Sus scrofa: one gene and its partner. The protein of the gene in region 2 binds, or shares a complex with, the protein of the main gene of each other region. Links are inferred from orthologs where the notes say so. Each region holds a gene or a part of one and is shown on either strand. Other genes may lie near its edges.

Evidence for each region. The genes of interacting proteins can lie anywhere in the genome.
Region 1: KAT7 (region 2) and JADE2 share a complex: the UniProt entries of both Homo sapiens proteins name them as parts of the HBO1 complex. The link is inferred for Sus scrofa from reciprocal best matches to the Homo sapiens genes KAT7 and JADE2.

What each region holds. Positions count from the first base shown.
Region 1 is NC_010444.4:136,822,056-136,825,573, reverse strand, and holds part of JADE2 (protein Jade-2), read right to left. Parts: intron 2,251-3,518; coding exon 2,133-2,250; intron 1-2,132. UniProt on the Homo sapiens protein: Scaffold subunit of some HBO1 complexes, which have a histone H4 acetyltransferase activity. Acts as an E3 ubiquitin-protein ligase mediating the ubiquitination and subsequent proteasomal degradation of target protein histone demethylase KDM1A.
Region 2 is NC_010454.4:25,969,917-25,973,970, forward strand, and holds the start of KAT7 (histone acetyltransferase KAT7), read left to right. Parts: upstream 1-1,240; 5' UTR 1,241-1,849; coding exon 1,850-1,882; intron 1,883-4,054. UniProt on the Homo sapiens protein: Catalytic subunit of histone acetyltransferase HBO1 complexes, which specifically mediate acetylation of histone H3 at 'Lys-14' (H3K14ac), thereby regulating various processes, such as gene transcription, protein ubiquitination, immune regulation, stem cell pluripotent and self-renewal maintenance and embryonic development.

The DNA of each region.
Region 1 (3,518 bases), on a different chromosome or scaffold from region 2:
TTCCAGTCCTGACAAAGTGGTCGGTCCTCTCGGGCAGTGCCCTGCTTTAGAGGGAGAATCGTGGGGCACGCTTGGCCCTCATCTCCGTTCAGTCCAGGACCACACAGGTCTAGGGGGCCAGAGATCAAACAGAACAGGGGAGGGGTGTGTGGGTCGGGGTGGGGGGGCAGCTGCCAGGAATCTTCTCCCAGCTTCTCCGCCAGAGGCTAGAGAGTTTCCTGAGTAAGGGTTTAGGCGAAGGTTGACGAGTGTGGCCCCAGCTCCAGGAACCTTCCCAGCTCTGCTGCCACTTCCCTGTGAGACCCAAGGCCTGGCCTGAAGAGGCCTCACCTGATCACCTGGGACCAGCGCCTGGACAGGCCCGGGGGAGGCTTCTCAAGACCCCGCCCTTCCCACGGCCTGAGCTCCTTCCAAGGGCACAAAACCTCACACGTCTGACCCTGGCAAGCCCTCAGCCTCACTCAGACACTCTCCTTCTGCTCTGGGGCAGCCATGCCAGCTTCCTCCCAGTCTCTCTAACGAGACAAGCTCCGGCCCTTGGTCCCCAGTGGGTGCTTTCCTTGTCCTGCCCCTCACCTGGTTCAGTGCACAGCCTGAGTATCACTGCCTTAGGGAGACCTTCCCCGGCACCTCTGGCTTCGGCAACATGCTTGTACCTCCCACCTGGGGGTCAAACATCACAACACCGAGGGCATCCGCTTTGGGTGGAGGCCAACGAGTCTTCTCTCCAAACGCCCTGCCCTGACCAAAAGGCAGCCTGACGCTGCCACTCAGGTCTAGAAGCAACAAACGTCTCCAGGTTCGATGTAGGCACGTGGACCCTCCAGGCTCTTGACCGTGGTTCTGGAATCCTGGGCCTGAGGGCACTGCACGGCCTTGCCACTCTGTGTGGCCTTCCTACAACTGGGTGTGTGGTGACCTGGAGTCAGGAAGCCTGAGAGGGTCCAGCATCACCAATGCCATGAAGCCATTCCTGACACTCTTGTCCCTGCACGGGCACCAACTGCAGCCCCTTGGACACCACTTTCCGTTGTCTTTCCCAAGGACAAGCTCCATGGGGACAAGAACCAGTCCACTGAGTCCATGGCAGGGTGCCCGCAGCGCCCAGCACAGAGCCCAGCACCCTGTCCACAGTCGGGCTTACCGAAGGAACCGGCAGACGAGAGGGAGTCTGGAAGCTGCCACAGATTTTGGGCTGCCTGGACAGCCCTGACCTCTATGCAGCCGGGATCCACTCTGACCCAGCACCTGTACTTGGCAGTGCTGGTTTCTGGGGCCGGAGTGGGTGATCACCCCTCAGCACAGTCGAGGCAGCTCAGCTCTGGGGCAGGACCAGGTCCTTGGTCATTCACTCCCGTGGTGGCCCAGGGCCCCTCCTGCCCCCCAGGCTGAGCTGGCAGTGGCAGCCCCTCGCTTAAAATCACTCTCCATACAGCCATTTTTGCTGCATCTAATTCGACATTAGAGCACCATTTTCTGGGCTAAGCATTGGCCTCCTTGCCCTGTAAAGACTCCGGGACAGGGCCTTATTATCGGGCAATGTTCACAACTAATAAATAAGACCACTGTCAGAGCTTCTGTGAACTCTGATTTCCAGATCTATTAAACACGTGTGATGGTGAGAGCGGAAGAAGAAGACAGAGGAAAAAACCATTGGCCCAGGGTCCGAGTCCCATCAGACCTGGTCAGAGAGAATGAACACACGTCTCCGGGCAGCTGCCTTCCTCAGAATTGACACCCTGGCAGATAGGGGCTCAGGGAAGCTCGCTGGCTTGGGCCCTTCCTGCCCTGGCACCAGCCAGAGCCACTGGGGCTTCTGGCTTGTACCTGTTCACGTGCAATTTGCTCCTGAACCACCAACGCCCCAGCACTGGCTAAGAGTCCCAGGGAACCAGAAAGCTCCCCCAATGAAGGCAGGCCTGAGGCCCACATTCCAACCTCTGCCTCCGAGCCAGCCGCACGCGCCTAGGACCCTGGGCCTTCTATCTGGATACAGAGGGGAAGGGTGGGGGCCAGTGGCCCCTGACCCCACACATGCCCCACCAGGCCCCGAAGACACATATCCTCCCTGGGACCCGGCCCCTTGAGGGCAGGCACACGAGAGGTGGCCGGCGGGCAGGGAAGGCGCCTACCTCGACACAGATCCTGTTCGATAAGTTTCATCTGCAGGTGGAATATCTGCTCCTGGAGCTTGCAGATGGCGTGTTTCGTTCTCTCGCGCCTTGTCACCATGTAGCACAGATTTCTAACCTGAGGAGACACAAGAGAGATTTGCCACCTTACTCAGGGCAAGCACCCCAGACCTCCCAGCTCTGAGGGGGGGCCACCACTGCCTTGTGTGCCCAGGACATCCAGGAACCAATTCTCAGACCCTGAATGCACCTCAGCCCAGAGGAGCACGCAAAGCTTGGCCCTGTGGCCCCGGGCACAGCTGGAGCAGGCAGGGAGTGTGTCTGCTGAGCCCAGGCTGGCGACTCTGCCTTCCTCCTCTCCGCCTAAATGTCCTGGCTGAGCCATGCCATCGCCCAAGTGTGGCTGCTCTCCCGTGGACACACAGGGACCCAAGGTCTGCTGGGGCCCCACGAGGTCCCTAAGTGCAGCCCTCAGCCTCCTGTCCAAGGCTGCTTCCCATCAAAGAAACTCTTCCGCCGCAAGCACTCAGGCCAAAGCCACCTCCTACCATGACACACGAATGACTGGTGCAGGAGTAGCAAGAGCTCCGGTAGAGCAGCTCTGGGTGGACAGGCGGTTCCTAACACACTGGGGTCCAGCCTGCAGCTGACCCTGTCCACCTGCTGCGTGAGCTCTGAGCCAGGTCCACAGCTACTGTGGTCAAGGCCCCACGTGCACTTGGCTGCGTTCGCTCAGCCAGAGACAGAACTCCTCCGGGGAAAAGGCCGGCTCTCTCTCACCCCCAGAGGCCAGCCAGGAAGAGACTCTTAGGGCCAGGGAGACCAGCTTGCTTATTAGCTCATGGGACAGGGCCCACCCTGCAGCTGGTCTGGAAGCAGCCAAAGGATGGGCCACGTTGCTCCCTGTCCACCGGGCACCTCGCCCTAGGGGGCCATCCCTCCCCGGCAGCGCTCAGGGTATATCATGCCTCCCCTCCAAGACCCCGTCTTGTTCTGTGTTCTCTGCAGCTCAGTCACAGCCTCCAGCAGCAGGGACAGCTGGCCAGAAGCTGCTGAACTGGCATCCTGGGTCCCACCAGGGTCCAATTCCAGCTGGATTCCATCTTCATGTCCTTCAGTTTCCGGGGCACGACTGATGGGTTCCAGAGCCCCTGCCTATTGTCACGACCGTCACTTCTCCTGGCCTGGCAGGGGGCTGCGGTCAGACCTCTCTGCTGGGATGGGCCGCCTCCTCTCCTTCCTGAGCCTAGTTGTGAAGGAGACCCCGGGACACCTGCGCCAGGCTAGGCTGTGGCAGGATGGGCACAGCAGGGCTTCTCGGCAGCACTCCGCACCCTGGCCTCGACCGTGAATGCCAGGCTCTCCCGTGGCCAGCACCTCCCCAAG
Region 2 (4,054 bases):
TTTCCTCCCAGTCTCTGGGCAAAGCTTTACTCCACACAAGGCTTTTCTCCCAGCGAGGTTAAATCCTCAACGCTTGCTGTTCACTTCTCAGCCTTTTCTTACCGCTCTTCTGCCAACCTTACATCTTCCACCAACTTCTCCTTTCTAGGCAGCTAACATCAATGCCTTTCTGAGCTCCAGCTTTACTAAAAATATTCCTTCCTCTTCCTCCAACTCCTGACTCAAGCGTCTGGATTTCGAGAGGTCACTTGGGCTAATGGGGTTCAATGCTTTTCCAACTCTGGTACCGCGCACGCGCGCACACACACACACACACACTCATCCCGAGGGCCACCCAAGGCTCTCAAACCCATACAGGATGAGGGGACGAAGTGGGTGTGCTCACCACAGAGCTAAACTGGTAATTCTTTGGAGCAACAGTTTCTGGAGAATGGTTGTGTCTCCTTTCGCGAGTGAACGGATCAACATACTTGCGGTTCGCTAAAGGCAAGGACAATGTCTCCTCTACCAGACAAGAAACTTCTTCATGAAGGACGCTACCTTCTTTCTGTCCTTTCACAAGCCCCCATTCCCAGCACTGTGAGACACCGAATGGCTCTTAAAATAGTTTCTTGTGCAAAATAGCCCTTCCCAATTTTGAGTTTATGTGATAAAGGGAAACGTCCTTTAGCCAATTCGGCGACTAAGGGGTTAAACCTCAGCAACCTGATGGATTCTGGGGCTTTCTTTCCTCGACTTCAGAAATTAAAACCAAAGGGAAGGGAAATTTTGCCCATTGTAAAGATGAGAACTGTTAACTTCAACTGTCAGGCTTCTGCCCCAAACAGGAATGGCTACCCACGCCTACAGAGGATGCCATTCCCCTAACTAAAAATGGCGGGCCCCAGTTTCCACTGTCGCTGCCACTTTCTGCCCAATTCCAAAATGGCTCCCGCTAGCCTCACCGGAGGGGGAAACCTCCCAGAATCCTCTCTGGCCCTAACGTCAGGTGACGCAAGCCTCAGCCGGAAGTGGAGGAAAAAGCGCCTCAGCCCGCGGCGCCTGCGCAGAAAGGTCTAGACGCTGTGAAGCAGGAGGCACTTGGGATCGTCCGCAGGATTGGGACTGCTACAGAGGCCGCCACGGAGCCCGCCGGAGCCACCGTTCCCACTGCTGCTGCCGCCGCTGCCCGAATCGGAACCGTCGGGCCGCAGCCGCCGGCAATGCCGCGAAGGAAGGTGAGAGGAACGGGACAGGAGGGATGGCGGGTTTCTAAAGGGCAGTCGATTGAGAAGAGTGACGCAGTTGGCCACGCCTCACAGTGGTTGGGTTCCAACTTCCCGCTTCCCTGAACCTAGCTCAGCAACCCTCGCTTCTGTCCATACCCAACAGAAAAATGTGGGCCCGACTGTGGCCTCGGCCTATGCTTGCACCTATTCCCGCCCTCTGCTTGCCTGGCTCGGAGGCGTTCTTCTCGGCAATTGGTCGCTGAAACGTCTAGAAGCATGTTGATTGGCTGGCGACACCGCCCATTTGGGCCCAACGGTCACCTCCCCGCGTGTGGGGGCGGTGTCTAGGCCCGGCTCTACCGCTCTCCGACTGGATGTAGAGAACGATCCCTCTTCTCTTGATTGGCGGGGCTTGGCAGTCTGTCCTGTGGGGGCGCGGTTTAGCGGGACCGCGATTGGGTGGCACGAGTCCCCTCCCATCCGTATGGTGATGCTCATAGGAGGAGAGGCGGGGTTTGGGGAGTATCCTTCCTTTCCCCGCGGAGGACACAACAAAGCAGAGGACTGGGTGGTAGAGAAGCAGCGCCCACTCCCGAGGGATCCCTTCCAGGCCTGTTGCACCTAAGCTGCGGTTTTCCCTTATGTGCTTAGTTGGACAGCGCCTAGAAAATGAAGTTCGTAAATCGGAAACTTCCTAGAATTAAATGGGACTTGACGATGTCATCTAGGGACACCCCCATCCCTTTTCTCAGCTAAGCAGAGGCTTAAGGGAGTGCCCCAAGCCACTCAATTAGGCAATGACAGAGCCTGGACTACAGGACAAATCTAATTCAGTTCAACAAACGTTTATTGACTCTTCGCTATGTGCTGGTTGCCGAGGACTCGAAAATTAATTAGACATGATCACTGGCTTAAGGAATCAGAGTCTGAGAGGAAAACAGACATTTAAATAACTGTAGAAGGGTTTAGTAAATTCTCTACTTGGCAGTAATAAAGATTAATGGGAGGGAAGTGGAGCAATTTAATCTGCTCTGGAGTAAGATGGGAAGTAGTTGGTGAAAGCAGTAGAGGAGAGCTGAGCTCCAGGGTCATGCCAGGAAGGGATGGGCAGAGATGATTAGGGATTCAAATAGCTGGGTAATTGGATTGGATGACCTTTAAGACTCCCCTTTCATCTTAATTTTTGGTGATTCTCTGTGGATCCTCCACTCATTTCCTGGCAGATTATCCTTGAAATATTTGGAACGCTGGGTGGTGGTCTTGCTCATTTCTGCAGAAATCTTTCTCTTCACAGAGGCTTTCAAATATTTACATTTTTTAATGTCTCCAAAATGACCTACATTGATAGGTGGTATTTATGTTAAGGCTCACCAAATAGTACTGGTGTCTTGGAATAGGCCCACAGTCTCCTTTTTGCAATCCCCAAGTACAAAGAGTTCTTGAAAATGTGTGTTTTTTAGTAACTTATTTCTTGGCAGAACCTGTTCTAAACTGTTCTGAGGCTATTTACAGTTTTTGTGTCTCATTTAGTGTGATTGTACATATATTTTGCTGCAGAAAGGGTGTTATTTGCAGGATGTATGCAGACTATTCCTTTCTAAAAAATTATGAATTCTAAACACATCTGATCCTAAGGGGGCTTTTTGTTTGTTTTTGCTTCTTGTATGTTTTTTTTAAGCAAATGCATCTCTCTTTATGGTTTAAAATTTTTTTTGCTTTTTTTTTTAGGGGTGCATCTGTGGCATACAGAGGTTCCCAGGCTAGGCATCAAATCAGAGCTACACCTGCTGGCCTACGCCACAGCCACAGCAACGCAGGTTCTGAGCCACATCTGAGAGCTACACCACAACTCACAGCAATGCCAGATCCTTAACCTGCAACCTCATGGTTCCTAGTCGGATTCGTTTCCTCTGCACCACAGTGGGAACTCCTCTTTATGGTTTAATAAAGGGTATGGTGTTAGCATAGGAGGGTACCCCAACCCTTCTGGCTTTGCTCTAGGATTCCCTGGGAAGGAAAGAAAGTTGGAATTTAATACAGAAAGCTGATGATCAATAGGTGATAATAAGTTGAGGGAGAAAATGTAACATACTTTGAGCACTTAAATTGTGCCAATTTGGTTACTGCTGTATGAGCATGCTGCAAAATGGGAGAAAAACTTCTGTTTTTTCAAACAAGTGTTTAATGCTTAATTGATAAAAGTTATCTTTATGGTTAATTGTGTCTCTGGAGGCTGATAATTGACAAATAATATTAACTGTAAAGGTGATTTTAAAAAACCTTCTGTTTTTGCATACCCATGTGTCTTCGTTTGCAAACCACTCCCTCCCCCCTTTTTAAAAGCACTTTTGGGGTACATGTGGAGAAACTTCAAAGGGAGATGACATAAGTAAGAAGAATTACTATTTTTCTCCCTAAGTTTGAGATCAGAGTTATAGACCATGATATTTTGAATCAGTGTGTGGTTTTTAATTCATTTTATTTTTTTATTTTTTGGTTTTTTTTTTTTTTTGCTTTTAAGGGCCATACCTGCAGCATATGGAGGTTCCCAGGCTAGGGGTCTAATCAGAGCTACAGCTGCCAGCCTGCACCACAGCCACAGCAATGCAGGATCCGAGCCACATCTGCAACCTACACCACAGCACATGGCAACACCGGATCTTTAACGCACTGAGCGAGGCCAGGGATCAAACCTACAACCTCATGGTTCCTAGTCGGATTCGTTTCCGCTGAGCCACGGTGGGAATTCCAGTGTGTGGTTTTTAAAAATGTAATAGCTGTTTATGTAGACTTTGAGCAAAAGCTACTCCAGAATTAAGTGAGGCTGTCACTAACATTTTTCTCTT